2 linked regions of the Saccharomyces cerevisiae S288C genome follow. The main gene of each other region encodes a partner of the protein of the gene in region 2 in a complex. Each region holds a gene or a part of one and is shown on either strand. Other genes may lie near its edges. The genes, in order: SWI6 and CDC14. A codon is read from its position in the direction of its gene.

What was found.
Region 1: the proteins of CDC14 (region 2) and SWI6 are in contact, whole or in part, in a crystal structure (PDB 5XW5), measured with the Saccharomyces cerevisiae proteins. Residues at the interface, in NP_116684.3 of Saccharomyces cerevisiae: Phe47 (codon at 2,018), Ala130 (codon at 1,769), Gly131 (codon at 1,766), Tyr132 (codon at 1,763), Ser133 (codon at 1,760), Glu171 (codon at 1,646), Val173 (codon at 1,640), Asp177 (codon at 1,628), Asp253 (codon at 1,400), Gly254 (codon at 1,397), Lys284 (codon at 1,307), Ala285 (codon at 1,304), Gly286 (codon at 1,301), Leu287 (codon at 1,298), Gly288 (codon at 1,295), Arg289 (codon at 1,292), Arg317 (codon at 1,208), Val322 (codon at 1,193); in NP_013283.1 of Saccharomyces cerevisiae: Glu157 (codon at 2,367), Leu158 (codon at 2,370), Gly159 (codon at 2,373), Ser160 (codon at 2,376), Pro161 (codon at 2,379), Leu162 (codon at 2,382), Lys163 (codon at 2,385).

The regions. Positions count from the first base shown.
Region 1 is NC_001144.5:516,042-521,124, forward strand, and holds SWI6 (transcriptional regulator SWI6), read left to right. Parts: upstream 1-1,898; coding exon 1,899-4,310; downstream 4,311-5,083. Other genes in the region: methionine adenosyltransferase SAM1, read left to right, coding at 1-369; VTA1 (Vta1p), read right to left, coding at 637-1,629; TOS4 (Tos4p), read right to left, coding at 4,502-5,083. UniProt on the Saccharomyces cerevisiae protein: Part of a complex involved in cell-cycle-dependent transcription. SWI4 and SWI6 are required for formation of the cell-cycle box factor-DNA complex. The repeated element in the upstream region of HO (5'-CACGAAAA-3') is called the cell cycle box (CCB).
Region 2 is NC_001138.5:207,913-211,607, forward strand, and holds CDC14 (phosphoprotein phosphatase CDC14), read right to left. Parts: upstream 2,157-3,695; coding exon 501-2,156; downstream 1-500. Other genes in the region: ECO1 (Eco1p), read left to right, coding at 1-385; PTR3 (Ptr3p), read left to right, coding at 3,025-3,695. UniProt on the Saccharomyces cerevisiae protein: Protein phosphatase which antagonizes mitotic cyclin-dependent kinase CDC28, the inactivation of which is essential for exit from mitosis. To access its substrates, is released from nucleolar sequestration during mitosis.

The sequences.
Region 1 (5,083 bases), on a different chromosome or scaffold from region 2:
GCCTCATCCGTCGGTGGTGGTGCCTTCTCCGGTAAGGACTACTCTAAGGTTGATCGTTCTGCCGCTTATGCCGCTAGATGGGTTGCCAAGTCCCTAGTTGCCGCTGGTTTATGTAAGAGAGTTCAAGTTCAATTTTCTTATGCCATCGGTATTGCGGAACCATTGTCCTTGCACGTTGACACCTATGGTACTGCGACCAAGTCTGACGAAGAAATTATCGACATTATCAGCAAGAACTTTGACTTGAGACCTGGTGTATTGGTCAAGGAGTTGGACTTAGCTAGACCAATCTACTTGCCAACCGCTTCTTATGGCCATTTCACAAACCAAGAATACCCATGGGAAAAGCCTAAGACTTTGAAGTTCTAAGCTTTTTTCCTTTTGGACTTTTTTCTGCCTTCAACCTCCCATGTTTTCATTTGCTCAACACAAGTCAACATGTACATTATACCGTATTTGATGCAGGGACGCAATACCATCATATTCTTGATATAGACTCATTTTTCTCAAATCAAATTTGTATCGATTTCATTTTGCATTATACAGGATTCCTTTTCCTTTCTAACATTTAATACGTAACTACTAATATTAATATATACCTCCTTCAACGGATCAACAAACCAAACTTTATCTTATTCAAATAGAATTTAACAGATCCAACGCCTTAGTTAACTCATCTTTGGCGGTGGGCAGGTCTTCATAATTCAATGCGCTTATGGCGTATTTGGCAAGTTTTTGAATTTGCTCTATTTTACTGGCCCTGTCCATAATTTTTGTCAACTCATCCTTTGTATACGATTTATGCTCTGCTGCAGCAGGTTCTGATGGTGCAGAAGGGCGCGTAAGATCCACTTCTTTCTTCACAACTTGTTGTTCGTCTTTTGTTATTGCATCTTCGTTCTTGTCGACGGTCTGTTCTTCTTCGTTTACGCTATCGGCATCATCAATAAATTCAGGTACCTCATCCACAGGCTCGTATGATGTTGTTTGGTCTTTTGGGGCTAGGCCTTCGACTTTATCATTATTATTGTTTTCCAAATCGCTTGTCTGGTGATCAACATCTTCATCCTTAATCTCCTCGCTATCATCCGCAAAATCTGCATAATCTAACGTTTTCTCGTCGCTGGAACCAATTTCACCCTTTGCCAATTTACTCAAATAAATTTTGCAATACTTAATTCGTTTTTGTAATGAATTTGTACTCGTTTCACTTATATTTTCCTTCCACAGGTGTAAAATGCATGAAAATAAATCAATACAACACCAAAGTGATCTTTTTAACATAACATCCCAGGGACCATCTTTTAGCTGTTTCAGTTTCTCGTTATACAACGACATTGTAAAATTTAGCATATAAATTTTGGCTTTTTCTTGATCATGTATTAGCGTGTTCATAACGTGTAAGCTTTTGTCACTGTCTTCTGCTTCACTCTCGCCGCCAATCTCCTTCTTAAACGCTTCAATAGTATCAAGAAGTTCTGTCGCTAGTGCGGTCATCTCTTGCGACCGATCTTCTTCACTCAGTATCAATTCCACCGCATATAACTGAAGATAGTATCCGATGATCCCTAACCCAACTTTGTCAAAATCCTTCGCTGTAGCGACAACCCTTGCAGCGTTACTAGCCATAGAATTTATTTAAAATGTGGACAATTAGTTTCTAAAAATTGAATCAAATAAAATAAGAAAGCTTATTGTTCCTTTTTTTGTCTTCATCTGGACCGTTTGGATAAGATCATTCACCAAATCTTAGTTTTTTTTTTTAGTTTCCTTCTCCAACGATTTCATAATAATAAAAAAAAACAACAAAAAACACGATTGAGAAACATCAATATGAACTAAGCAATAGCTAAAAAAAAAAGAATAATAAAGGGGAACACAGTATAATTCTCGAGAGGATGGCGTTGGAAGAAGTGGTACGATACTTAGGACCTCACAATGAGATCCCTTTGACACTCACTAGAGACTCGGAGACTGGCCATTTCCTCCTGAAACATTTTCTGCCCATTTTGCAGCAATATCATGACACGGGGAATATTAACGAGACCAACCCCGATAGTTTCCCCACTGATGAGGAAAGAAATAAATTACTGGCACATTATGGAATTGCTGTAAATACAGACGACCGAGGTGAGTTATGGATAGAGCTGGAAAAATGTTTACAATTATTAAACATGCTAAATTTATTCGGTTTGTTCCAGGATGCATTCGAATTTGAGGAGCCTGAAACAGATCAGGATGAAGAAGATCCCAGCCATTCGAAACTACCAGAAAACAAGACCAAAAGTGAAAATTCTAAGGATAATATCAGCTCAAAGAGGATTAATAATTTACAAGATATGAGCCTGGATTCTGATGCACACAGAGAATTAGGCTCTCCTTTAAAAAAACTAAAAATAGATACCTCTGTAATAGATGCTGAGAGTGACTCCACTCCGAATACTGCCAGAGGCAAGCCTAACGATGATATTAATAAGGGCCCTAGCGGCGACAATGAAAATAATGGCACTGATGACAATGACAGAACCGCTGGACCTATCATAACATTCACTCATGACCTAACTTCTGACTTTTTAAGCAGTCCACTGAAAATCATGAAAGCACTACCTTCTCCAGTTGTAAATGATAATGAACAGAAGATGAAACTAGAGGCATTCTTACAACGGTTGTTATTTCCAGAAATTCAAGAAATGCCTACATCCCTTAATAATGACAGCAGTAATAGAAATTCAGAAGGGGGGAGCTCAAACCAACAACAACAGCACGTATCATTTGATAGCCTTTTGCAAGAGGTAAACGACGCTTTTCCTAATACTCAATTAAATCTTAATATTCCTGTAGATGAGCATGGAAACACACCATTACATTGGCTGACTTCAATAGCAAACCTGGAATTAGTGAAACACCTGGTTAAGCATGGTTCAAACAGATTATATGGTGATAATATGGGGGAGTCATGCCTAGTGAAAGCTGTCAAATCAGTAAATAATTACGACTCTGGTACTTTTGAGGCACTTCTAGATTATTTATATCCATGTTTAATTTTGGAAGACTCAATGAATAGAACAATTTTGCACCATATCATTATTACGTCTGGTATGACTGGCTGTTCAGCAGCTGCGAAATATTATTTAGATATTTTAATGGGATGGATTGTCAAGAAACAAAATAGACCCATTCAAAGTGGTACTAACGAAAAAGAAAGCAAACCGAATGACAAAAATGGGGAAAGAAAGGACTCTATACTAGAAAATTTGGACCTGAAATGGATAATAGCAAACATGCTCAATGCGCAGGACTCTAATGGCGATACTTGCTTGAACATTGCAGCAAGATTGGGAAACATTTCAATAGTAGACGCTTTATTAGATTACGGTGCTGACCCATTTATTGCAAACAAATCAGGGTTGAGACCCGTGGATTTTGGGGCAGGTACTTCAAAATTACAAAATACGAACGGCGGTGACGAAAACTCGAAGATGGTCTCTAAGGGTGATTACGACGGTCAAAAAAATGGAAAGGCCAAAAAAATAAGGTCTCAACTGTTGAAAAACCCACCTGAAACAACTTCGTTAATTAATGATGTCCAAAATTTACTGAATTCAATCTCGAAAGATTATGAGAATGAAACAGTGCAATATAATGAGAAATTAGAAAAACTACACAAGGAATTGAACGAACAGCGAGAAGAATTAGCTAATTCTAGAGAACAACTAGCAAATGTGAAGCAATTGAAAGATGAATACTCACTAATGCAAGAGCAATTGACCAATTTAAAAGCAGGAATTGAAGAAGAAGAGGAAAGTTTTAGGGAAGAGAGCAAAAAGCTAGGAATAATTGCAGATGAAAGTTCAGGTATTGATTGGGACTCTAGCGAATATGATGCAGATGAACCCTTCAAAGTAGAGTTCCTTTCAGATTTCTTGGAGGATAAATTACAAAAGAATTATGAAGGCGATATTTCCAAACTATTAGAAGCGGAGTCGAAAGAGCAGATAATGGAACAGATACGAAATCAACTTCCCGCAGAAAAAATCCAATCGATGCTTCCACCAACGGTCTTATTGAAGGCAAGAATAAATGCATACAAGCGGAATGATAAACACCTAACCAATGTATTGGATACAATCAGCACCAAACAATCAGAATTAGAGAATAAATTTAGAAGAGTGTTATCTTTATGTTTGAAAATCGACGAAAATAAAGTTGACAATATGCTTGATGGTTTGTTACAGGCCATATCTTCTGAAGACCCACAAGACATTGACACTGACGAAATGCAAGATTTTTTAAAAAAGCATGCTTCATGAGGGCATGTGATTTCATTGCATTAACTTTTATGACTTTATTTGAAGTTATTTTTTTGTTTTAGCGCTTTATTTACTTTTATTTTACTACATAACTGTATTCTTACAAAATTTTTACGTACTCAGATGGGATATATAGGCACTTGATGTTTTATTTTCTTGTTCTTATCATATATCCGATGGAATAAAATGTTCTATTTTGCTGGCTTTTTCCAAAAATATTGTTTATGTGTCCTTCTACAAGATCTTAAGCCTGTCCTTCCACCTTTTAATGAACTCACCAAGTTTCTTCTCTCGTAATCATCATCGTTTTCTAAATCGTAGAAATACTCTTCGTCCAATGGTTTGCCGGCGGCGTCCTTACCATGACGGTAAATGACACCGACACATTTCGCGTCGCTCAAAATCGAACGTAATTCATCTCTTGAAAGCTCAGAAATTTGTGAGTTCACCTGCTGTAATTGGAATAATGGCGTCTGCTGGACGTTTGCAAAAGCTAGGTGATTGGTTAAAATATGCTGTAGATGCATAACATCAATATTTCTTCTAGATAGCTCATCCAAATTCTCTTTCACCGATTTTTTTGGCTTTGAAGGTAAGACCCTCTTGTTAAGTTTTGGTTTCTTCATAGTCATAGGATTTTTATCAGATGATAGTGAATCTTGTCTCAGGGTTTGTTCCTCGTGATCAACAGAGGAGACGGATGAAAGTGGGGACGATTTAGAATTTAGGAAGTGGTTTAGCATCCTTTCTGCAACGCCAGAATCACTACCAAT
Region 2 (3,695 bases):
CACAGAAGAAAAAGGCAAAGCGTTTGTATACATAAGAAATGACAGGGCGGTCGGAATAATAATTATAGAGAACCTTTATGGGGGCAATGGTAAAACATCTAGTCGTGGACGTTGGATGGTTTATGATTCTAGAAGATTGGTACAGAATGTGTACCCCGATTTTAAGATTGGCATATCGAGAATTTGGGTGTGCAGGACAGCAAGGAAGTTGGGTATCGCAACCAAATTGATTGACGTTGCAAGAGAAAATATTGTTTACGGTGAAGTTATTCCTAGGTACCAGGTAGCATGGTCGCAACCCACAGACAGCGGTGGAAAACTGGCTAGCAAATACAACGGCATTATGCATAAATCAGGCAAGTTACTATTGCCGGTATACATATGACTCTTTCGAAAAGACAGCGAGAAGGGACACTGGAAAAATGGCATAAAACTTTTCAAGGTTATTATTAGTAAGTTTTTTTATTATATGATATATATATATATAAAAATGAAATAAATTATTTCTTGATGGAGCCACTTATTTTTCTTATACCACCGGCGGCGCTTGTAGTCCTTCTCCCTGACGTTACTCTCCTATTCTTGGGCAATAGTTGTCTTAGTATGGTATCATCTGCGGCATTATTGATGTTCGTTGCGCTGGGTTCGTTATCTTCCATTCGGGACGATGAAGCAGAGGAGATATCATTTTTCTTGCGCGAAACTTTGGGATAATGATTACTTGTGCCGTTGGTATCCTGCATGGATTCGTCATCTGAGTTGTTGCTTTCTATTACTACCTTCCTATTCGCATGGGAAGTTGGATTACGATTATTGTTGATATCTTCTATAGTATTAGAACCGTTTTGGCCCTTTCTCGGCTGACCAGGCGAAGTCTGTGGGACGGCTGAGCTCTTGAATGAATTACTTCCATTATTCGCCGTAGAAGGTTGGCTCGAATTTCTGGCACTAAGCGCCCCATGACCGTTGGATGGCGGCGTCATGGTTAAATCTCTTAATTCACCTTCAATGTTATTTTGCGCAACCCTCTTGTCGTCTTTAAGTTTCTTTTTTTGTAAGCGGTATTCTTCTAAACTTATTAAGGGATATAAGCCGCCAATGGCCTCACTAGGCTTCAAAGAAATTCTGGTTGTGTACTTCCATTCTCTAAAATCATTCTGGTGTAAATATAACCAATGCTGTTGAGGGCCAACGACCATTCCCGGCCTTATAAACCTTAAGAAGCCAATACACTCGTTAGCGGTAAATCCATACGTGTATATTAAGTGAGCACCAATTAAACAACCAGTTCTACCTAGCCCAGCCTTACAGTGCACAGCAATTTTACCTCCCCTTTTAATTATCGTTTCAGCAGCACCAACAAAGTTTTTTACAATGGAAAGATCAGGACATGTACCATCTTCGAAAATTAGATCCAAATGTTGAATGCCAATGTCTTCAAAATGCTTTTTATTATATAAATGAGAATTCAACCTTACCACTAATTGGACGTTATTGTTGGCGAAAAAATTCAGAACTGACTTAAACGGCTGGTTCAAATGTGAAGATTTGGTAGCGAGATAGCCCTTTGGATGGTCCTCTTGTGGTGACGCAAATGCAATAAAATCTGGGGTGAGTACATTGAAGTCTCCAAACTCCACGTGTTCGTATTTCTCGTAACTCTCCAAATTGAAGGAATGCAAATCAATAAGGCCTTTTTCCTTAGCCCTCCAAACGCCATAAACCACATCTTGAATTGTGATTTCGAAATCCGCATTAGAATAACCGGCATCTCTAAATGGCATGAAGGGAGGGTCTACTTGCGCCAACGGCTGAAGCACTTGATGCGGAGTCCATGCCTGAACGAGGATCATATAACAGCAAAGCATACATGCGGCGTTAGCACGTTGTCTGGTCGATGCAGATGAATAGAAAACAACGGCTTTATTGGCATTTTCTGGGTCATTCAAGATTTCATGGAAAATAACGGCAAAACGATATAGATGTCCAATGTTCATGGGACCGAAATCCAAATGGAAACTGTTGTAAAAGATTGCGTCCTCCACGGTAAAAAACACCAGCTCATCAGTATCTTCCGGCGTGTAATCATATGCACCGAGATATACTCTGCCTCGCAGGAACTCGATCGTGTTGTCGAGGTATACACTCCTACGCATTTTTTTTTTTTTTTTATAAGCGTACTTTGTAGTCCCAGCCTCTGTGCAATTGTTTCGTATTATACCTCGAACGAATCGGAAATATTTGGTACATTATTGTTTCAATTTCAATTTGTTTACCTTTGAACCAAGTGAAGAAAAACTTATGGTGCTAAAAGTACATTCCCCGTTGAAAGTGATACAGCTTTCTTGATTGACACAATAGCAATGGCCTTCAAATGCATATCTCTACTATCGGCTAAAAAACGAATGACTCACGTTATCAGGCTCATAGCTTGTGTGTGTGTGTGTGTGTGTGTGTGTGTGTGTGTGTGTGTGTGTGTGTGTGTGTGTGTGTGATTGTTGTTCTAGTCGCTTGCTTTATAAAGTAACGACACTTTCTGGTGCCAATATGTGAAAACGCATTACAGAAAAAAACAGTTGTATTCTACTAAAAACACATCAGTAGTCACAGAAGTCACAGAAGTCACGTATATAAGCTAGTGGCAATCATAACTAACACAGGTGTATTAATGAAAAAATAAAGCCAAAAAAATTTCAGAAAAAAATATCTCCCGGGGGCGAGTCGAACGCCCGATCTCAAGATTTCGTAGTGGTAAATTACAGTCTTGCGCCTTAAACCAACTTGGCTACCGAGAGTCGTTTTTGTTGATTACTTTGCTATATAAAGATTCCTTTATCATTATTTCATGAGGCGCACTTTTGATTTTCACACCTTTTTCAAGCGGAGGAGTTATTCGTCTTATTAACATTACCATTACAGTAGTCATCAATGATTACCTTATCAGCACTGAAAAGATACCCGTAAAATTTAGCACACGCACACTCACACATACATAGGTACGAAATACACAACTGATAGGCGTTCATGCACTCTCATAGACAAAAGTGGGGCCGCCAGACGGATATAGCGAGGGTGCTCGACGATATAGAACACGACCTCTATCTACCGCAACGGCTATCACTCGATGGTGCAACTGGTACTGACGAATCACATGTGCAATACGGTATAGTCAAAGACTGCTCTGTGCTTACGTGTGGCTGCTGTATATCTGAATCGCTATTCAATGATTTATGCAGGGAAACTTCGAACAAGCAAACTGCGTGTCCCATCTGTCAGCGAGAAAATGTTCGACTACTTTCAGCCATCAAGCCGCTGCGAGATTTGGCTCGTCAGATTGACTTCTTCAGAAGTACTACCGGACAGGGCGAAAGCGAAAGCGATGAGCTCCCCGCTATAGTAAAGACTTCACCATCATCATCATCACTATCGCTAACGCCATCGCGCTCTTCCTCCACTGCTGGGCTAGAAGCTGATAACAAGACACTATCAGACCCTACAGTTAAGGAGAAATCATCACTGCTCGAACTCTTCCATATTGTGGCTTCGAAGATGCATAATGCGAATACAGAGGTAGGGTCGGACCACCCACTCACGACTGGCACCACCCGTGATCAAGAAGAACACACCACTAAGGAGAATTACTCAAGCAGCTTACTCGAGCCCAACTATGACGACCACGCGAACTGGAAAATCCT